3 linked regions of the Xenopus tropicalis genome follow. The protein of the gene in region 1 purifies or fractionates together with the protein of each later gene. This does not show direct contact. Links are inferred from orthologs where the notes say so. Each region holds a gene or a part of one and is shown in the gene's direction. Other genes may lie near its edges.

What was found.
Region 2: the proteins of xrn2 (region 1) and cdkn2aipnl purify together in Homo sapiens (co-immunoprecipitation; 6 studies listed by BioGRID and IntAct, with this or other methods). This does not show direct contact. The link is inferred for Xenopus tropicalis from reciprocal best matches to the Homo sapiens genes XRN2 and CDKN2AIPNL.
Region 3: the proteins of xrn2 (region 1) and kpna1 purify together in Homo sapiens (affinity purification with mass spectrometry; 4 studies listed by BioGRID and IntAct, with this or other methods). This does not show direct contact. The link is inferred for Xenopus tropicalis from reciprocal best matches to the Homo sapiens genes XRN2 and KPNA1.

The regions. Positions count from the first base shown.
Region 1 is NC_030681.2:36,281,419-36,288,691, reverse strand, and holds part of xrn2 (5'-3' exoribonuclease 2), read left to right. Parts: intron 1-158; coding exon 159-247; intron 248-2,456; coding exon 2,457-2,592; intron 2,593-4,104; coding exon 4,105-4,212; intron 4,213-4,652; coding exon 4,653-4,742; intron 4,743-6,661; coding exon 6,662-6,734; intron 6,735-7,273. UniProt on the Homo sapiens protein: Possesses 5'->3' exoribonuclease activity. May promote the termination of transcription by RNA polymerase II.
Region 2 is NC_030679.2:26,508,671-26,516,413, forward strand, and holds cdkn2aipnl (CDKN2AIP N-terminal-like protein), read left to right. Parts: upstream 1-3,388; 5' UTR 3,389-3,442; coding exon 3,443-3,615; intron 3,616-4,937; coding exon 4,938-5,037; intron 5,038-5,975; coding exon of another isoform or gene 5,976-5,978; coding exon 5,979-5,987; 3' UTR 5,988-6,184; downstream 6,185-7,743.
Region 3 is NC_030678.2:3,377,653-3,385,586, forward strand, and holds the start of kpna1 (importin subunit alpha-5), read left to right. Parts: upstream 1-3,638; 5' UTR 3,639-3,772; intron 3,773-7,934. Other genes in the region: taf13 (transcription initiation factor TFIID subunit 13), read left to right, coding at 746-843, 1,800-1,970. UniProt on the Homo sapiens protein: Functions in nuclear protein import as an adapter protein for nuclear receptor KPNB1. Binds specifically and directly to substrates containing either a simple or bipartite NLS motif.

The DNA.
Region 1 (7,273 bases):
CACAGGTTTTGCAATAAAGTGTTATTCATAGTGACTTGGTTTAAGAGATTTTTAAATAGATGGGATGTATGCTTATTTAGCATGTATGTGTAGTTTGGTATTCTGCTTGATTAACAAGATAGTAAGCTCTTTGCATGACTTTTTTTTTCATTTTGTAGCATTCGGTAGACAATGCCTCCCCGAATACAGGGCAGAAACGAAAAGCCGAAGGCAGTGACAGTGAGCCCGAGCCGGAAGATAATATCAGGTGAATCCATTTTGTGAAACACTTTGTTAGCAAATTGCTGAGATAGGTTGAGTCTAATTAATGCCATTTAGCTTATGATGGCAGTGCCTTTGGATAATTTTCTGTGATCTTTTTATCCATCAGTAATTAATGTGGAGGGTTACAATATTCAGTAAATTCCAGTGAGATGAGTAAGCTAAAGCTGTTAAATCCAAGTATCTAGATTAGTATGCATGCCGGCTTTCTTTCTTCAAGCCACTTTTCCCTTTGAGACTAAGGGCTGCATTGGCTAGACATTCAGTGTTTTTGATTTGATTATGTGATGTGAATGCCAGTTTTTTTAGTGATGAATATTTAACCCTCAAACCTGAGTTGATGTAAGTGTGCCACATTATCTGATCTGAATGGAGCATCTGTTTAGCAATTCGGCTTCTTTGATCTGGATGCTGCAAAATCGTACTTTAAAAATAAAAAATGTGCAGGTGTCCTATTTAGATGGGAATCATGGTCTAATTGTGTATGTATTTGTAATGTTTATTTTCAGATGTGTTTGAATCAACTGGTAAAGCAAATATGTGAATGCATTAGCACATTGTCATTTATATGCTTAATGCTTATATTGGCTGTCCATTTTCAAGATAATTATTTGAGAAATAATAAAAATATTCATGTTCACAACAGTAGTAATTACTTGACCAGAAGAAAATGCATATATTTTTTTTAATGCATTATATTTATAACTAAATTTTCAACAGTCCTGCAGTCCTGAAAGGATATCTAGTGAAATCTACTCTTAATAGCTTGAGTTTGCCTTCCTGAAATTATGAAGCTAGACCATATTGAGTTTTGTACTGTTTAATCTTAAGGTTCAGTCTTGTTCAATGTGTTTTTTTGATCACATATTCTAATATAAGGATGGCAAACCACAAACCCTTGCAGAAGAGTGTTGCCATCTTTGTTTCTTTCTGAGTGAGACCGCGAGAAGGGACTATCTGTATTGGATATGTTGCCTATGATTTAGCCAAAGGCTAAATCTAGATTCCAAAGGTTCTGTTTTAGTGATCTGTTTAGTCAGTATCTGTTTAGTCATCTGTGCTTTCTGCTACTGTTTCTTGCCTAAGCCAAAAGGGTCATGCCAACATGTTGCGTCTAGAACAGATAGCTACTAGCCATGGATAATTTCCAGGGCTGTGGAGTCGGAGTCGGGGGCAATTTTGGGTACCTGGAGTCGGCAAAAAATGAACCGACTCCTACTAAATTTAAATGGGAATAAAAAAAAAATAAAGCAAGTTTAAATGTCCCAATTCACAAACAGTCATAATTAATTACTTCTCTGCTATAAGAATAAAGCCCAATGCACGCAGTGCATAAACGAACACGTTGAGTGACCATGAAGCATGCTTTTCATTGACTGTATGAATGTATAAAATACATTAGCATATTAAAAACAGAGGAGGTGGAGTCGGACGTATCAGAAACTGAGGAGTCGGAGAATTTATCTACTGACTCCACAGCCCTGATAATTTCTTCACCTGTCTAGCTTACTGATGGCTGGTGGTGACAACCAAAGCCCCCATTCAGTTAGAAATAAGTTGGCGGCTGAACTAGGCCTTAGATACATGGGGCAATAAGAATCTCCTCTACTAACAAGTTGTACTTCCTACACTTGGGTAGTGTAAGCACGGTTGGACAGAAGGGATGCAGTGTATCCAGTGTTGGATTTGGTTAAATACCTATGCTTGCACCAAAGATTTGGATGAATACTATCCCAAACCCTAATTTGCATTTTTAAATTTAAGAATTTCCATCATCAAAAAAAAACAAACTTGTCACCTTCAGTGTCCAGTGCTTTTTAGGCAAATATATTTTAGGGTTTGGCTTTAGTTAGGCAAAAACTAAAGGACTTAAATCCTTCAAAAATTGCTGGCGCTAAGTCTTAGATTGAATGAATCAGAAAGTGTAAATGTAATTTTATTATATTGATGGTATTCAAGGGCCCTAATAAATGAAACATTAATTATATTTCATAATGGATAAAAGTTTAGTGGTTTACCCATTGTTCTAATACAGTTCAGTACATTATAAGTAAATGGTTTAAATTGTGTACTGCAATGTCAAGTAGGTTAATTGATTTACAAATTGTTTTTTTTCTGTTTTTCTTAAACAGTGCAGATGCAGTTATTTTGAAGCTGATATTAATGCTTTCATTTTTTTGTGTTTTTTGTTTCAGATTATGGGAAGAAGGCTGGAAACAGCGCTACTACAAAAACAAGTTTGATGTTGATGCAAGTGATGAAAAGTTTCGCCGCAAAGTAGTACAGTCGTATGTTGAAGGCCTTTGCTGGGTTCTGAGATATTATTACCAGGTACTTAGTTGTTCTTCTGCTGCTTCCTTCTTCACAGCAAAGAAGCTGTGAAGAAGCAAAGAAAACCGCACTAGTGCAACAATTTGTGGAGAAAGCCTATGTGCAGCCATTAGCCCCATTGCAGAGTGATACTGCTGTGGTTGAGCCATAGAACATTTTATTTTGCTTGTGAAAGTGATTTAACTGATTCAGCTGTAAAGGGAAACTGCATAATCTGTCTTGAGAAAAATGTAATGCACTAATAGCAACGGGAAAGTATTTTGTCGTTTTGTAGCACCAAGGTTAATGCCAACAGCAGGTTCTATATGCTGTAGATCAGTGCTGTCAAACTGGCGGCTGCGGCCCGCGACCCCCCTCTGTGTGGCCCCCCCCTGTCTGGCTGCTTTGATGGCTTACTCTTGTGTAAGCTTTAAATGCTATCAGTACTGTGATTAACTGGCCCCCTGCATGGTTCTCACCTCAGATTCAGGCTGTAATCAGGCTGTATTGTTTAAATATGTAATCCCCTGTGTTGTTCACACCTTTTAATCTCTGCATTGTTCACCCCCTGCAGTGTTCACACCTCAGGATCAGGCTGTAATCACCCATATTGTTCCCCTGTTCACACCTCAGGAGCAGTAGAAACCCACAAATAATCCCTGCACACTACAAAAAGAACATATACTGAGGTAGTACTGCAATTAAAAAGTTTTTTAATATATAGTTATTGTGCAGACTGTAGGAGCAGTGCCAGCATTGTGTCACTGTAGGCTGTCTGTGTGTGCCATACACACAGGCATCATAGGGCAAGCAGAGTATGGCACACACAGGCAGGGTAGGGAAGGCAGAGTATGGCACACAGGCCAAGTATGGCACAAACCAGCCAAGAATGGCAAACACAGTGAAAGTATGGCACACACAGGCAGGGTAGGGAAGGCAGAGTATGGCACACACAGGCAGGGTAGGGCAGGCAGAGTATGGCAGGTTTTTGCTGTACTACAACCATTAATATGGGTATGGTCATGTGATAACATGGGTGTGGTTTCAAGTGGGTGTGGTTTCAAAAGGGGAGTAGTCAAAACTGGCTTCCATTATCGGCCCTCCACCACGTAGGTCGGAAAAATTCCGGCCCTCAGTACCACAGAAGTTGGACAGCACTGCTGTAGATCAAACATGATTCAAAGTTCTACATAATGATTCTGGATTTGCTCTCCTACCTTTAACATCTAGGTAGACATTAACAAAATATTACCCTGCCCAATATTTCAAAGTGTTTTGTGTGTGGATTGGTCCTGCCTTATGCTGTTTGAATTGCTTAAATTTGCTACTCTACTTTGAGGAGGCAACCAACTGGTTTGAACCAATAACCTGCATACTCTGGCTTAGATTAAGATTTGATGTAGTAGTCTGACTTTTGGTTAACTGTGGCTTCACTATATCATACAGTAATACATTTTGTGCTGGACAAATCATCTTAAAATAATCTTGTTTTTTCCCATTAATTCCCTTTCATTTTTAATCTTTTGTTAATAGGGCTGTGCTTCTTGGAAGTGGTTCTTTCCATTTCATTATGCTCCTTTTGCCTCTGACTTCGAAAACATTTCATGCCTTTTCAAAGAGTTTGAAAAGGGCACAAAACCGGTAAGTGAGCCATGTTTTAAATTACTTCACCCTCCTTGCTAATTCTGCCTGAGTCATCTATTTTGTTCTCCATACTGTTGTACTATATAAAGAAAGATATAGATACATAATCATTTACTATTATACATCACCTCAGTGACGACTTCAAATATTTCTGTAAGGAGGTTTGAATTCACTGGCCCTTATATCATTGGGGACATAGTGCACCAAAAGCCGCCAGACATGACAAAGTTAAAAAAAAAAAAAAAAAATTCACCTAATAGCAGCAGTACTGGTTGTACAGCAGCAAGTGTAACAAGTGATTATGGTTTTTTATTGTCCTCAGACCATTTGTTTGATTTGTGGTCCCTGCCAATAAAATTTAGTTGGGTACTGATGATGCTATTGATACTTTCCAAATAATGCTGCATTCATGAACAGCATTTTTTTTTTCTTTTCAGTTTAAACCACTTGAACAACTTATGGGAGTGTTTCCAGCAGCTAGTGGTAACTTTCTACCAGAGTCATGGAGAAGGCTTATGAATGATCCCGTAAGCATTCTACTCTATTTAAATGTTCGATGTGTTACTCTGTAAAAGACGGCTCCACCAAAAAAATGATTTTTGCATATTGTTGGCAACCCTCAAAGATGCGTTCATGAATAATATATGGTGCTGGTTTCACATTGGGCTAGAGATTCCTATCTGTAAAAATGGCCCTATAGATCTGCTATGGTCCCTGTCTGAGTTTTAAAGAATAAGTAAACCTCTTTTTTTTTCTATGAGTAAAACTACTCTAAACAGCCTCCAGAATTACTTACCTTTTGTCCCAGCATGCTCTCTGACCTGTTTCCTCAGTCAGAAGGTATTCTTTTTGGCTGCTTCCTTGTGCAGAGTGAAGCCCCACCTCCACTTCCTGTTCAGTTCTCTTTTCAATTCGACAAGGTTGTCGGAGTGGAGAGCCTTCTGCGCATGCCTGGAGGCAGCAGGAGCCAGTCTGTGCATTAGCTGTTTTTTTTTGGGTTTTTTTTTTTTGATGAGAGACCTGAACAGGAAGTGGGGGCGGGGCTTCACTCTGCACAAGGAAGCAACGAATACCTTCTGACTGAGGAAACAGGTCAGAGAGAATGCTGGGACAAAGGTAAGTAATTCTGGGGGCTGTTTAGAGTAATTTTACTCATAGAATAAAAAAAGTTTACTTATTCTTTAAATAAGGTGTGGGTGTGTCCTGACAATGCCTGTCTGAAGCACAGTAGGGGGAATAGCCAATCACAGCCCTGCAGTCACACAAGCAAAGACAGGCTACAAGTTCCTTATCAGGTCAGCCTAGCTGCTGATTGGTTCCTATCCTACAGTGCTGAGTGCCTTCCCAACCAGCTGGGCTCATGTTAAAGTGCATACAGATTGTACCTGATTCCACTGTTTGAATTAAACCATGTAAGTTCATGTAATTCAAGACTCAAATCAGTCCTTTCCCGACCCCAGAGTCTGTCAGCCATTCCCCCCTCCTTACCTTTTTTCCATGTGACAGAAATTACTGTTTATAAGGATATAATTTACAGGATATTCATGGCTCTTTTATGTTAAATAGTGATAATTCAGAAAACCTTGTTAGCTGCTTTGTTTTCCCGTGTCAGTTGTTAGAATTTGTTTTTACCACATTATAACTGTAATCGGTAATTAATTTCAGACTTTCTTGTGCTGAGCCTCCTGTAATTTTTGGTATGAATTGAATTTTACAGTATAACTAAAGTGTGTTTGCGTCCGATGCTGTCATAGATTATAAAAATTTAGCTTTTGTAAGATTCATGGATCTCTACACACATGTAGTAGATAAATACCTTTTTGATATAAAATAGGACTGCTGCCACAGCAATTGTTTTATCTGTAGATGCTGGACAGAGCGATAGTATTTAGAGGGGTTGTATGCTCTGCTGTGGTTCCAAGACAGCAATGGAGTGTACTTTCCCCAGTCTGACCCGCATCCAACCCAAAACCCCATTGGTCGCTCAAATTTCAACCCAAACCCGCTCCCATTGCTTTCACAAGTTTCAGGTCAACCCACACATTACTACAGAGGAGTGTACTTCCCCTGTGTGACCTGCAACCAACCCAAACTAGCAATGGTTTCAACACAAATCCACCCAACCCACAGGTTCCATAAGTGTCTGGTCAACCTGCATGTTGCTCAGTACTGATTTACTTTGATTGTACAGGCAGGAAGTAGAATGTGACTTGACCTTCAGTTTGAGATTTGTTTACAGCAAGAAATTTCTTGAAGAAAAAAAAAAAGGCCAAACCTATATGTTCAGGGCAAAACGTGCTTATTAAATTAAGTGTTGAAGAGGAGCTATAATGCCCATGTAGAATATATAGCTTTTATTTGCTTTTAAATATGCCAATAGCTATTCAGTTGAATTGTTAACTATGTCCCTTTTTAACTTTGATTTCCATTTAATTTATTAATGCAGGATTCCAGCATAATTGATTTCTATCCAGATGACTTTGCTATTGATTTAAATGGAAAGAAGTTTGCTTGGCAAGGTAATTAAGAAATACAATTTGTCTAATGTTAAATTTAAAATTTCTTGTCCATTCTTATAGAATTTAGCCTAGATAAAATGAAGGGTAGGGTTCAGGTTGGAAGCGGGCGGGTTAGGGTCAGGTACAGGTATTTCTCGACCTGCACATAGTAAATTCATAGTAAATTCATAGTAAGTTGGGTTGAAAAAAGACATACGTCCATCAAGTTCAACCATAATGCCTATATATAACCTGCCTAACTACTAGTTGATCCAGAGGAAGGCAAAAACACCCCATCTGAAGCCTCTCTAATTTGCCACAGAGGGGAAAAAATTCCTTCCTGACTCCAAGATGGCAATCGGACCAGTCCCTGGTTCAACTAGTACTAAGAGCTATCTCCCATAACCCTGTATTCCCTCACTTGCTAAGAATCCATCCAGCCCCTTCTTAAAGTTATATAATGTATCAGCCAGCACGACTGATTCGGGGAGGGAATTCCAGAACCTCACAGCTCTCACTGTAAAAAATCCTTTCCGAATGTTTAAATGGAACCTCCCTTC
Region 2 (7,743 bases), on another chromosome or scaffold:
CTGTCACACAAGCTGCAGGACTGGTGGCCCATCTTTAAGTGTTCATTCATCTATCCTATTGCAGTCTTACTGCAACTAAAGTAGTTAAATGGCATATTTATATACTGTAGGTCTCTGTCGGAGTGTTTACATTCAAAACAAAACAGATTAGTGTTTTTAAAGGGCAAATAACTTGTAATACTCATCTTGTATTTCTGTAACTGAAATATTTACAGCAACAAATCACTAAGTGGCGCTCTTGCGCTTCTGTCTCATGTCTGCCATATGTATTCCCCTGTACTAGCCTCTGCACAACTTTTTTTTTTTTTTACACAGAACAGTATTATATAATAGCCATGGAGTGGTAGAGGACTGTTGACAAAATAAAGGAAAGCCTTAAGCTGGCCAGATATGGAGAAACCTGGTTTTTGAAAACCGAAAACATATGAGAGATATGTCAAGAAAAAAGAGAAAAACTCTTTGCCTAATGCCCACTATCAGAACATGTATGCTGCCTACTGACTTAGTGCTTAGATAGCTATACTGTACATAAAACATATTTTAAAGAGGAATTACACATTTAGTAATGAGAATTTTTATGGACTTATAGTGAAAAGGAACATCTGGAAAGGGAACAGTAGTCAAACATCAAAGTTAACTGATATGAAAGTACAATTTGGAACTGAGGATTGTTCCCAGAAAATTAAACCTTTGAGTGGGAAGGAGATGGATGAGCGATCCATGACTCTGTACAAACGTCACCCGCCCCCTGCCTGGCTTTCTTAGCCAGCAGAGGTGGCAACCCTACTTGGAGACCTTGTAGATAATAAACTTGGCTGTAGCAAGCAATGCAAGGCAGCAGCTGCAAGGGCAAACAAGGTTTTGAGCTGTATTAAAACTGGCATAGATTCACAGGAGGGGGTTATTCTTCCCCTTTACAGAGCGCTGGTAAGGCCCCATCTAGAATATGCTGTTCAGTTTTGGTCTCCAGTGCTCAAACGGGACATTATTGAGTTAGAGAGGGTCCAGAGAAGGGCAACTAAGCTGGTAAAGGATATAGAAAATCTCAGTTATGAAGAAAGACTGGCCAAGTTGGGTTTGTTTACACTGGGGAAGAGGCGCTTAAGAGGTGACATGATAACTATGTATAAATATATAAGGGGATCATATAATAACCTTTCTAATGTTTTATTTACCAGTAAACGGACACGAGGGCACCCACTCCGTTTAGAAGAAGGGAGGTTCCATTTAAATATTTGGAAAGGATTTTTTACTGTGAGAGCTGTGAAGTTGTGGGATTCCATCCCTGAACCATTAGTACTGGCTGATACATTATATAGCTTTTAGAAGAGGTTGGATGGATTATTAGCAAGTGAGGGAATACAGGGTTATTACAGATAGCTCTTAGTACAAATTAATCCAGGGGCTGGTCTGATTGCCATCTTGGAGTCAGGAAGGAATTGTTCCCCCTCTGTGGCTTCAGATGGGGGGTTTTGCCTTCCTCTGGATTAAGTATAAGTTAAGCAGTTTATATATAGGCTTATATATAGGCATTATGGTTGAACTTGATGGACCTATGTTTATTTTCAACATAACTTACTACATTAATAAATAAAAATTTATTGAAATAAAAAAGAGACGAGGCCCAGACTGGGTGGCTAAAATTACTAGGACTGACAAAAGAAAGTAGCAGGTCAGTTCTGGTGTGCTGCTTCATTTTGGCATCAGTAACCTAGAAGGATGTGTAACCCCTATTTAGCTATAAAAAAGACAAAACCCAGGCTAGTGTAAGGTTAGAGCATGGGGTACATGCGACTCTCTGGACAGGATGGGCCTTGGCTATGTGGAAGAGTCCATGCGAAGCAAGGCTGTAGGAAAACTACAACTCACTGTAGCTGTGTGCAGTGCAATTTAACAAAGATGGACGCCAGAAGGTTCTTGCAGTTGAACTATAGCACAAGTTTATTGTCAAAGACAATTGAAATGCAGGCTTATAGCTATGTACTCACATACAGGCAGATATAGCAGAACCCACTGAGGATAACAACGGTTTATGCCACCTCTTTTGGGAGACTGGGCAGGGTAAAACACCTGTCAGCTTGGCACCACTTTGGAAGGCAGTCTGTATAGTTACTCCAATCCTAATGTTGATAACCTTTAACTTGTGTGGGTCCTACGGCCAGGTATGGATCAGGGTTTGCACCTGTATCCTGTCACTTATCCGTGGCCCTAAGCTAAGGCAACATTGCCGGATGGAAGGGTACTTCCTTTCTGAACTTCTGGTTTGGGCCTGACCTTCCCTTGCTATCTAGTTCTAGCTATCTCTCTCTCCTAGAGAGTGCTCTTACAGTTTTGCTATTCTGACTAATCCTCATTCACGGGGCCCTGTCCCCAACTTCACCAGAGTGGATGTTAACTCTGGGGCAAATGGCTTTACTGGGGCCTTGTCCTGCTCCCAGGCTCAGTGACCTGTTCCTGAGACACAGAGGCAGCCAAAGAGACACACCCTCCTGCTAAACACTATATGAGTTTGCAAGAGGTGTGGTCAACCCAAATAACCAATAGGTATAAGGTATAACTATAAACTGATACATGGGTCTTTGCCCAGTAACAGCAGAAATAAGGAAGAGATAGGGGCAGATTAACCCTATGGGTCCCTACAGATGTATGTAAGCCAAGTGACACCTAAACAGAAAGGTATAGGGGTAACAAGCATGAAATGGTCCCATCACTCCCAGTATAGAATGGCACACTAGTGACCATAACAACAGACTGGCATATGTGGAACAACATGAATTGGCACAGGCACCTTTATCAGTATCATAAAATGGCATAGTGACGCCCCCTACTCCCCCAGAAAAGTAAATTGTTCCTCTGCCACATGATTGGCATTAAATGGAAGCATCTCCCTGCAGGGAATAACAGTTACCCCCACATCTCATGGCCCAACATGACAGAAATCCCTCCAGTATATTAAGACAAAAGGCCTTAGCGTATCCCATTAACCACTGCCATACCCCAACATATAACGGCACAGTAACCCTGCCTTGTCCCCAGTACCTCACGGCACTCCCCATCACTGACTCACATGACATCACTATATCACGATGACTATCCCCGCCCTTCGTAACTTTAGGGCTCAACCCCCTCCCAAGGCACATAGATTCCCGCCCAACCCAGAAAACACTAGGCTTCCTTAAATCGAATTTTATTGTTATAGACGTACACCCAAAGCATGTGGCGAGCGATTTTATCGCGCCCCGTATTGATATTCATTCCCTCAGCATTACGTCATTACGTCCCCTCGCACTAGTTGTTCGTTTCCCTAGCACTACGTCACTACGTGGAAGTGCTCCTGAGCCGCTCCAAACACCATAGAGCTGATACCGGAAGTGACCCATGCCTGCTCGCCAGACAAAGGAAGTTCGTATGTTTTGCTGAGTATCTTATTTCCGTACACAATATGGCGGCAGAATTTGTCGGGCAATTTCAAAGCTTTTCTGAAAGCGATAAGCAATGGCAGGCGAGAGAAGAATTTATTATTAGAAACCTGAAGCATTTCGAGGATGAGAGCGCTCTAGATCGGCTGCTGGCTTTATCCATGGTTTGGGCTAATCACGTGTTCATGGGCTGCCGGTAATGTAGTGTTATTGTACTGAGCTATACACTCTCTGTGCTTGCATTATTGCTCCAAGCAGTTATACGAACATGTACATTGCTTTGTGTTTTTAAAGTGAATGTAGACACCCACGCACCCATTTTGCTACTGCATTATTTACATTGCATTTGCTGTCATTTCTGCAGCAGCTAGGATCTTCACCCCCAAAATGTGGTTTTGCATGGTGAAATGAAATGCAGAGCTGCCAAGCAGCCCTAGGTCATGAGGAAGATTGTGATCCACTCCAGGCCATTTTGAGACTTTATTTCATGTTATTATTTGAAGTGTAAAGTAGAATTTAGACATAAAAAATCCAAGACTGGATCATTGTCTCTTTTATGATATGGAGTTGGTCGACAGCTCTGGAAATACGATTCTAAGTAACTTTCCAATATATATGTCTACTTTTTTCCCCGCTGGTGATAAAGTAACGTGCAAAAAAAAGCAGGACTTAATTGGCTGTTTACATTCACTGCATTCCTGGATCTGACTCCTGAAACAATGCTGTGAGCCAGCTGATTAAAGGAACAGTAACACCAAAAAAATAAAAGAGCTTTAAAGTAATAAAATTATAATGCACTATTGCCCTGCACTGGTAAAACTGGGGTGTTTGCTACAGTAACACTACTATAATTTATATAATAAGCTGCTGTGTAGCCATGGGGGCAGCCATTCAAGATGGAGAAAAGGCACAGGTTACATAGCAGATAACAGATAAGTTCTGTAGAATACAAAAGTGTTTTATCTGCTATGAGCCTGTGCCTTTTCTCATTTTAATGGCTGCCCCCATGGCTACATAGCAGCTTATTTATATAAATTATAGTAGACTTTCTGAAGTAAACACACAACTTTTACCAGTAGCAGGGCAGCAGCACATTATATTTTAGTTACTTTTATACACTTTAATTTTTTGGTGTTACTGTTCCTTTAAAAGAGGGGTTATTCTATTTCAGGAGTCAGACCCAGGAAACAGAAAGGATAAACAAACACTGCCTTAAGGGGTCCAAACACATTAAGATCTGATCGTTTGTCAAAGTCACCAAACTAGGGGATCTTCTCCCAATATGCCCACTAGTGATGCACAGAAATACTCAACCCCAACTGACCTCCTCCCTTTATTTATAGACCCGCCCATGCCCCCGCAATGATGTCACAAAAGGGCATGCCAGACGCCTGATGCATCATCTTTGTAAAGTAATATGTTGATGGTAATAAAGCTATTATACACAAGCTCTGAAATCACTGATCACAGTTTAGGCATTACATGCTGAACAATTATATATTCTTTTTGTTTTCTCAGTTACAGCAATGAACTTTTGGAAAAAGTCTTTAGTATGGCAGAAGGCATTGTAGTAGAAGATGCTCCACATTTTACTACAAGAGATGAAATAATGAAGCAGGTAACAGCATCATATTTTAAATGGGTGCCATAAGTTTTTTGTGTCCTCTTTAAGGAACATGTATATAGGTAAAATATTTAAATAGTGTTAAGGAGATGTCTAGCTGGAGGCCCATGATGTAAAAGTGGCTCCTCATGGACAGTATTACAGAATGTAACTTGCAGGCTGCTTGCTCATCTGGTCTCTCTGACTTGTGATGGCATTGCATGCACCTGTTTTGTTATAGTGCACAGAGTAGGCATTCCTCCCTGGACTCATGTGCCAGACTATAATAATATACAAAGAGTAATAGTGGTAGGAGTGTGGCTAAGTCTGCATAAACCAGCTGTACATGGGGATCAGACTACCATCAGTCCCATGTTTAGTGCAGCCAGCTGTAGGAGGTACCTAGTGTAGGGAGTGTGTGGGGTTCCGACACCTAGTACCTCCTGTTATGGATATACACTTGGTTTGCCCAAGTCTGGATAATGCCCATTTTACTGTACAAGGAAACCAGGGCACCAGGATATTAGGTAGAAACTCTCCAGATTCAAACTGCAGTCCAGGTGCATCAGCATCAGACCCTCTGCATAGGGAAGTGGAAAACCATCAGCTACAGAAAGATGGGCACCCAATGAGTCCACCATGGCCACCAATGTAAAAAAAAAATAAATGTATCTTTGATATTAACATTTTAAAGCCTTTGATATAAAATACATCTGATATAAATAAGATACATTTTTACATCTGTGGCCATGGCCCAGATGATTCCAAGTAACTACTTATTTTTACATGCCTCTTATTATGTCTTGCAAATACTGTTGTGTAAAGGGCATAGGAGGTGCATAAATAAGAGTGTTTCTTTTGCAATTAAAACTGTGTTGGGATTTTACTATGAAATAAAACTGCATTTCTAACAGAAACCCTTGATGAGTAATTTGCAACTCTTTCTTTTCCAGCAGAATCGTTAGCTGACGACATGAAACACTCATTCAGCTTCCTGTTCACAGATGTCTGGCATTTAAAGATTTGTGTTAAAAATCCATATAGAATGCCCTTATCAAACAAACTGACTTGGTTGTTTAGTCAAGAACAAATAATATTGGCTGCCAAGCCTTTTTAACTTTTTTTTTTTCCAGCAAAAATAAAAATATTGAATTTTTTTTTTTAATAGAAGACTCTATTTTAATTATTATTACTAAAGTCAACACAGCAGCTGTCCATTAGCCGATCAGGTCCAGTTCTCATGACATTTTACCCAGTCTTACGAGTGACAAGGCCGTTCTTAGTGTGGATTTGGGGGCAGGTTCAAGTGGCAAATTGTGCAATCACTGACCCCCCTTCCCTTTAAAAGTCTTTAAGTTAAAGTAGGTACCTAATATTTTATAATTATGAATGCATAAAATTAACAGCCTCCCTGCATGCTCAAGATGCACGTTCCTCCAATAATAGTGCAGATGTAAATAATGCAGCACTGACTGAGTTTACCCAGTGCTTACCCAAGTGCAAGCATTGTTTCAGTAATATATTTAAGTAAAAATATAGTTTTCTTTTTCTTCAGGCAGAGCACTGTTATCCCAGTATCTGTGTATTCCCTGTGAGAATCATTTATAAACACTGGGCAAATTGCTGCGCTTGGCAGTAAAGCTGGCCATACACTAGGAGAGCCACTTGTTTTGGCAAGGTTGCCACATAAGCAGATCTGGGCAATTGTGTACAGGGCCTAATCAGGCTGATCCAATTGTTGCCCACATATGGAGAAGCCTACAGACCAGTCAGATGAAGATTGCATCAACGTTAGAATAAGCAATTTACTGGCATAACAAGGCTATTACAAGCGGGAAAATTGTTTATTCAATGCACGCCATGTAAAGTTTGGGGCACGCCTCTTCATCAGACATGTCTGACATGCCCTGAAACATTACATGGCTTGCACTGAATAAATGTTGTTATAGCCTTGTTGTGCCAGTAAATTGCTTATTCTAAGGCAAGGATCCCCAACCTTTTATACCCGTGAGCCACATTAAAATAGAAAAAGTTTTGGAGAGCAACACAGGCATGAGGTGCCAATGAGAGCTATGATTGGCTATTTAATTGCCCCTATGTTGGCTGGAAGCCTACAGAAGGCTCTGGGAGCAACATCCAAGGGGTTAGCGAGCAACATTTTTCTCACGAGCCACTGGTTGGGGATCACTGTTCTAAGGTTTAGTGGGGCTGCCGATCCCTCCTTATATACTGACCACCAGGCGGAATTTATTTGAAAGAATAGGGTGTGCTGGTGAGTTTTGAATTTATCTGCATCAATGTGCCATACAGTCCTCGTTTGGTGGATAAAACCTAACCTGTCCAATACATATCTGGCTGGCACATCTGTCGGCTCCATACATGGGCCAATAAGAAGCTATCATTAGCATGTGTTTGGCTACCTGAACCTATGGAAATCAATCAGATGTGTGCCTTCATTGTTATACCTGCAACTGGCTGAAAAAAGCTAATAACTTTTTGGTTGCTGCTGAAGTGAAAATTAGCCCAGTGTTTATAAATAAGCTCCAGTGATTTTTTTTTTCCCATGCCATTCTTTTGTCTTAAGAAGCACCTGTGGTCTCTCCTCTTCACTTGATAATGAAATTTCAGGCAGTGCAGGTATAAGTGCTTTTTGGCTTAAAGTGTACATATAACACTCCAAGGATAAAATGAAAAATAGTGTATGAAGCACAGGGTTTGTAT
Region 3 (7,934 bases), on another chromosome or scaffold:
GTCTGTCAGGCTGCTGCCTTGTGTTACACTGTTTCAGGGGTCAGTCTCCCCCAGCGATTCAGGTCTGTCAGGCTGCTGCCTTGTGTTACAGTGTTTCAGGGGTCAGTCTCCCCCAGCGAGTCAGGTCTGTCAGGCTGCTGCCTTGTGTTACACTGTTTCAGGGGTCAGTCTCCCCCAGCGAGTCAGGTCTGTCAGGCTGCTGCCTTGTGTTACAGTGTTTCAGGGGTCAGTCTCCCCCAGCGAGTCAGGTCTGTCAGGCTGCTGCCTTGTGTTACACTGTTCCAGGGGTCAGTCTCCCCCAGCGAGTCAGGTCTGTCAGGCTGCTGCCTTGTGTTACATTGTTTCAGGGGTTGGGTGAGTCAGGTCTGTCAGGCTGCTGCCTTGTGTTTGCAATTATATATGCAAATGACGCAAAAACCATTACAAGTTTATAAGGAATGTATATTGCAAAGTTGCTTAGAATTAGGTTTTCTTTTATTAGGCAACAAATGCTATTTTGGGTTGACTTTTCCTTTAACTCCAGATCCTAAATACATTATGCAGTGGGGGGCAGAAGTAGTGGCATCCAGAATACATTAAATACAGCGAGAAGTAATGGGAACTTTAGTCCCACATACATGAAATACAATGTAGGGAGTGATTTCTATGGATTCTGGGATTTTGTTTAGTGCACGTTTTTCTGCGCTGCAGCTTCTGCCTTGCTTCTGTCGGCTCTAATAACTGCCATGTGTCTCCTTTCCCGCAGTGCGCTGTATGATGTATGGATTTGGAGATGACCAGAACCCTTATACAGAGTCGGTGGATATCCTGGAAGATCTGGTGATAGAATTCATTACTGAGATGGTGCGTAAACAGAACATGTTTCCCACAGTGTGGCCCCTGCACCCTTCTGCCCAAATGCTGCAAATTATTAGTGAACACACTTAAAGACCTAAGATTGGCCCTTCCAGAGCTCTACGCGTAAAATGCCAGGATTTAGGGGCATGTTAACTAAGGTTGGAGATAAATATCACCATTGATGTTGCCCGTAGCAACCAGTCAGATCTTTGCTTTTGGTTTCTAACTTGTAGGTGATTGTTAAAATCTAATTGCTGATTGGTTGCTAAAAGCAACATCACTGGTGATATTTACCTCCAATCCTAGTAAATATGCCCCTTAGAGAGAGAAAAACCATGTACAGGGGGTACTTACTTTGTGAGCCACAGTAAAAAGGCTTGTGGAGCAACAGAAGCATCATACAAGTTCATGGAGGGGCCAAATAAGGGCTCTGATTGGCTATTAGACAGCCTCTATGCACAGCATATAGGGGGCTTTATTTGGAAGGAAAGCTTTTTATTCAACCAAAACTTGCCCTCAAGTCAGGAATCCAAAAATAACTACCTGGTTTGGGGGGCACTGAGAGCAACATCCAAGGGGTTGGGGAGCAACATGTTGCCCCCGAGTCACTGATTGGGGATCACTGGTCTGGAACATAAATATTAATTTCATTGAACTCTTTGGGTGCACGGTACTTACGGATAACAGCACCTCCCACCAGGAGGCAGGACAGTGTAGTAATTTCATTGGACTGATCACCCCTTTGTTTTAAGGCTTCTTATAGCTAGAGACTGGAGTGACTTAATGAGGTTCCTAGATCCCTTGGCTCAGTGCTAAAGACTAAGGGTGAATTTTCCATATTGTACAAAAACAACTTGCGCTGGCGTTACAGTCTGCAGCAGCTGTAACAGTACAGTTACATGGGCAGGTAGGTGGTTTCTCCCGTTTGCTTCATGTTCACACCCTATTATTCCTTTCCCTAGACCCACAAGGCAATGTCCATTGGGCGCCAGGGCCGCGTGCAGGTGGAGGATATCGTTTTCCTGATCAGGAAGGATCCACGCAAATTTGCCAGAGTCAAAGATCTGCTGACTATGAACGAGGAGCTGAAACGGGCAAGGAAAGCCTTCGATGAGGCCAACTATGGCTCCTGAAAGCCTGAGTGTGTTTCTGCTACAAATCTCAATTATCTGCCGACACCATTATACCTTTCTTTAGCCACTGTTTGGCTGCATCTGAAAATGTTATCACTGGGGGGTGGGCCTGTGAGACCCTCGGACATAACTTCTCACATCCTGATTGGCTAATAGTGATATAGTCTGTAGGTACAGTCCCTGCCAGCTCACAGTACCGACCCGTGTCTCTCTGCTCCCCCTTGTTTGTGTGTCTATTCCCTGGGCACTGCGTTTCCCCCATCACAATTACTGCAGGAAAGTCTGAGACAAAAGCTAAGGAACTGCTATAAAAGAAACGTTTTGCAGAAAACACTATAACCTCACTCACAATGACTGGATTTTAGGACATTGACAGAAAGTGCAGTTTTTTGTGTTAATTTATGTGTTATATGCGGGATGCTAATAAACTCCTTTTATACTAATAATATAAATGTTCCCCATTATTATTATTAGGGACAATGTTAGTTTGGTTACCTGACGGCTGTGAGTGAATGAAGGGTTATTTGCCCACTGCAGCTGGGCCTCACCTCTCCTTCCAGCGCTCTTACTGGCCAGGGCCCTTGGCAGCTCACATCCCCTGTTGCAGGGATCCCCAACCTTTCATTCCCGTGAGCCACATTCAAACAGAAAACGTTTTGGAGAGCAACAGAAGCATGTAAAAAGTTCCTGGAGGTGCCAATGAGAGTTATAATTTGGCAATTTGGTAGCCCCTATGTTGACTGGAAGCCTACAGAAAGCTCTGTTTGGCAATTACATTGGGTTTTTATGTAACTTGGTCAATTGAGAGGCCCCCAAAATATTAGTAAATTGACCTATTCTACCGCCATATATTGAAATTGCTGAATTATTTAGGGCTCTTGTAGGCCCCCTACACTCCAGGGCCCCCTGCAACCGCAGGGTCTGCTTACTCTATAGTTACGCCCATGATAATACCACAGAACACACCGCTTGTGTTATTACAGGGCCAATTCTATGTATAGTACATGCAGGAAAAGGTGATGTACCGTGTTAGCCAGTCAAAAATGTTTACAGGGTAACCCTTTTTAAATAAAAAATAACAAAAGTGGTATAAAGGTGATACCTTTATTGGCTAAGATAATCATAGCGCCGGGGGTCTAGTTACACGACCCCCGGCGCTATGATTATCTTAGTTAGCCAATAAAGGTATCACCTTTATACCACTTTTGTTATTTTTTATTTCAAAAGGGTTACCCTGTAAACACATGTATAGTACACACTGCCCAATGTAGGAAATTAGTTTGTGTCGGTTTTGGTACAAAGCTTAGACAAATAGCAGTATCTTCCTATTTGTCCAGTGTTATCTTGCATTCTGGGTGGAATTTGGAAAGAGAAATATCACCTGTCGTTTTTACCTGTAAATTATGTTTATTGACACTGTAATTGCGTAGGGTAACACATACAGAGGCGCAGCACTTGCCCTGTCACATTACCACCATTACGGCAGTGCGTCAGCCTCAAAATACAAGGTGTAGCAATATGGCGGCCGAGGTACGGAAGCGGCATTGGGCCAGTAGAGGGAAGACGAGCGCTCGCTAGAAGCTTCTGCCTCTGGGGTATAGCGCGCATGCGTACTGTTCTGATCTCCGTGCTCTGGGCATGCGCAGTTTCTTGCTCCCACACGCAGGACAAATACCGGCTGCTGTGGCGAGAGGCCGAAACCTGGGAACGGCGGCGGAGTGACAGTGGGAGCGCCGACACAGAACGGAACACGGTCCCCTTGGGCTTATTCAGTACCGACCAACGTGTGGAGGCCGAGCAAGGTGAGAGCCAGTGGCCGCTCTGCGTCAGAAGTGGGACCGGGGGAGCCAGCACCGCCCTGAGGGGCACAGGGGGGCAGTAAGCGCAGACCTGGGGCAGAAATGTCATTGAATGGGCAGTGGGGGCACGGAGAAGGCATTGATCAAAGCCCTATGGGCACAGAAGCGCATTGCTAGGGGCAATAAATAGTCCTGGGGGCAATATTCACAGCTTGTGGGGAAAAGAGTTGCCGGAAAGCGAAACCCTGGAGGCGCAAAGGGGACCAGAAGCAGGAGGAGCACTGTTTGGGAGCCATGGAGGGGCAGAAATTGCATGCTGGGGGCAGAAAGGGCAATAAGAACAGCACTTGGGTCCCAGGGGAGGCAGTAAAGCAGAGCATAGGGGCAAATAGGTTTGGCTAGTGAGGCTGTTAGAGCCCACATTTATCTGGATCTTTGGCTACAGATGTAGGGAATGAAGTGATCAATCAATTCTGAGTATTGCTGCCCTATAGTAATACTACTTACTAATATAGATATCTAAGTGTGTGGGTATATATATGTTATATACATTATACTAGGGGGCCAAGAGTAAGGTATAAATTAGAGATCCAGTATTCTGTTGGTGTTTGCTCAGATACTTGCGCTTCCAGTTCAGTTTAGCAGCTGTTTATAAATATTTATTTGTGAGTTCCTCAACCTAATCTTGTTTTTCCAGCTACATCTGGCACACACACATGCTGTGAGTCACTGACAGATTTCCTCTGCTGTGATTGGCTGGTTCCAGCATACGTCATAGGTCATTTATATCTCAATAAATAAAAGGGACATTAACGATTTGGGAAAAGCATGACTTATTCACTATATATTGGGGACATGTTTATATTAATGGCAGTTTCTGGAATGAAATGTTATTAGTGATTATTTATATGATCTGTAAACAGTCTCAGCTTGGTCGCCCTGTCTTCATAACTGGGGTCCCCCGTCCCCATTGTTAGCTGTCGCCCTTCTATACACAAGCAGGGAAACTGAACTAAAAAATCCTGGACAACAGTGGTGTGGGGGTTAATTAAACAGGTTGTTCATCTTGAAATAACTTTTAGTATGACGTAGACATTGATATTGTGAGACAATTTGTAATTGGTGTTGATTTTTTATTGTTTGTGGTTTTTCAGTTATTTAGTTATTTGGAGCAGCTTCTCCAGTTTGGAATTTCAGCAGCTCTCTGGTTGCTAGGGTCTTGTTTAACTTAGTAACCAGGCAGTGGGTTGCATGAGGGACTGGAATCTGATTAGGAGAGGAACTGAATATAAATAGAAGGAATACAAAAGTAACAATAACATTGTAAGCGCATGAAGCAAATGTTTTCCCACTGCCGGGGTCAGTGACCCCCATTAGAAAGCAGGAAAAAGGAGGGCTAATAATTCAAAAACTATAGAATAAAAGAAATACTGATGACCAAGTTGCTAGAATTAGGACATTCTGAGACAATTTGCAATTGGTCTTCATTGTTTACTTTTTGTTCCGCAGGTCTCTAGTATGGAATTTCAGCAGCTAAATGTTGCTAGGGTCCATTTTACCTTAGTAACCAGGAAGTGATTTGAAAGTGACTGATAAGAATAGTCGAGGGGCTGAATAAAAACATAAGCAATAAAATGGTAGCGTAACTGAGCAATAGTCTTTGGCTGCCGGGGTCAGTGACCCCCATTTGAAAGCTGCAAAGAGTTGGTAGAAGAAGACTAAAAGTTAAAAACTATAAAAAGGCGAAGACCAATTGAAAAGTTGCTTATATTAAAAGTTAACTTGCAGCTGAACTGCCCCTTTAACATGTGCAATAGATATAGTATATTATATATAGATCTCTCGTCAGCAGGACAGCGATGCACAGCCCGGTTATCTGGACTTGTGATTGGTGGGACTGGGTCATGTGTCCCCCTGCCTATGTCTGTGCTGACAATGGGGGGGGGCCCTGGTCAATTTTGGGACAGTGACATTGTTGCTCAGCCCCGGGGGAGTTGTGGGTAACTGGAACAATCGGCTGTGATTCCGAGAGAATTCAGTGGGGTTTATATTAGGGGGAAGCAGCAGGCACCGCAAATCCTTTAGGCACTTTGCAGCAGAACAAGCGCTGCTTTATGGCTTTGTGTAAACATAAACAGTGCGTATGATTAGTCTGCTGCTTCCCAGTAACAGTCTGCCTGCACAGCCTTAACCCCCTCAGCGCTGGCCTGGCTGTCTCGCTATTTTAGGCTTATACACCTGCCTAATACTTAGTGCAAATAGGCACCACTCCCTCTAAATTGCCTCCACTCGCCCCAAGTCCAGCAATTAGGCTGCTCCATTAAACCTACTCATTTCCCTAAAATCCATTTACTTTTACTCTACACTGGTTTCTGAATTATCCGCTGCTTGTCCGTAAAACTGGCCTTCAGGCTGGGCCCCCATAGCCCATAACAAGGTTACAGATATATAGAAACATTGGGGTAACAGTCACCCCGCTATAGTTCCAGGGGTACCCAGGGCACAAATAAGCACTCACCCCAAATCCCCCCCTAACTGGCCTTCAGGCTGGGCCCCCTTAGCCCATAACAAGGTTACAGATATATAGAAACATTGGGGTAACAGTCACCCCGCTATAGTTCCAGGGGTACCCAGGGCACAAATAAGCACTCACCCCAAATCCCCCCCTAACTGGACTTCAGGCTGGGCCCCCTTAGCCCATAACAAGGTTACAGATATATAGAAACATTGGGGTAACAGTCACCCCGCTATAGTTCCAGGGGTACCCAGGGCACAAATAAGCACTCACCCCAAATCCCCCCCTAACTGGCCTTCAGGCTGGGCCCCCTTAGCCCATAACAAGGTTACAGATATATAGAAACATTGGGGTAACAGTCACCCCGCTATAGTTCCAGGGGTACCCAGGGCACAAATAAGCACTCACCCCAAATCCCCCCCTAACTGGCCTTCAGGCTGGGCCCCCTTAGCCCATAACAAGGTTACAGATATATAGAAACATTGGGGTAACAGTCACCCCGCTATAGTTCCAGGGGTACCCTGGGCACAAAGAGAGAGGAGGCTACAGGACTGTAAGTGCTGAGTGGCCATTTCGCTAGTACAGTGAATTTAGTGTGATTACTCGCTCTGTGCTGTGACTCAGTTTCTGTCCCTAATCCCCCCCGGATTTAAGCAGCAGTTGCCGGCAGTTACTAACGAGGGATCATTAGTGATGGCACCCAGCATTAACCCCTAAAGCCTTGCCTGGCATCCTGAGCCCTTGCTTATTGCACAGTATTTCCCCCAATGCTTATATAGCGGAGGATTGTTTCCTGGGGCCCCCCTGTGTGCCTTTAATAGAGCACCCTTCCCATTTATAATTACTGGGTGGCCACTTGGTCCCTAATTTGCACCCCAGCCGGCAAACACTAGGGAGCCGGGTTGGAGTGACAGGGAGCCCTATTGGGGACAGGTGTTGGTGGGAGGAGGAAGGACTGGGGAATCCCAGTTAAATAAGAGAATCCAGAGCAAGTGAAGTGAATGTGCCTGGGAATCCCTTGTGCTGAGCCGGACTGGGAATTACCCCCCCCCCCCTGGGGCACAGAGAGTCTTCATCTGTAGCCTCCAGACACCCCTGGGTACAGTGTGCTGCCTCTATATATACACCATATACCATACACTATTTGATTACATGGAGTAATTGGGAGATGGCCATTACGTAATTCGGAGCTTTCTTGATAACAGATTTCCAGATCACAGATCCAATACCTGTATTACATTGTATTGTTCACCCCTAGGTTCCTTCTGTACAGCTGATGTGGGGGTTAAAATGTGACCCCAGGGATTCTGAAGGCAGCAGTGCTTGGGGGGGGGTAGGGGGGCATTTCTTTGCTCGTGGCTACCAGCCCCCCCCCCCAGCAGGGAATGCTCTGCACTTACCTCAGCAATACTTTAAATAGCGTGAGAACATGCTGTGCTCTGTACCCTGAGCTGTGAGCTGCCCTGTATGTGAGCAGGGAGATGCAGTTCAGTGTGGTGCATTATATATATAATATATTATAACATGTCTGGCTGACACGGGCTCACTTTGCTGCCCGTTGCACTAGGAGTTTTTTTCCTTTAGTTCCAGCTACTAATTCAGCTGCTGTTCTACTACAACTCCCAGAATCCCTTGTGAGACTGTGTGGTA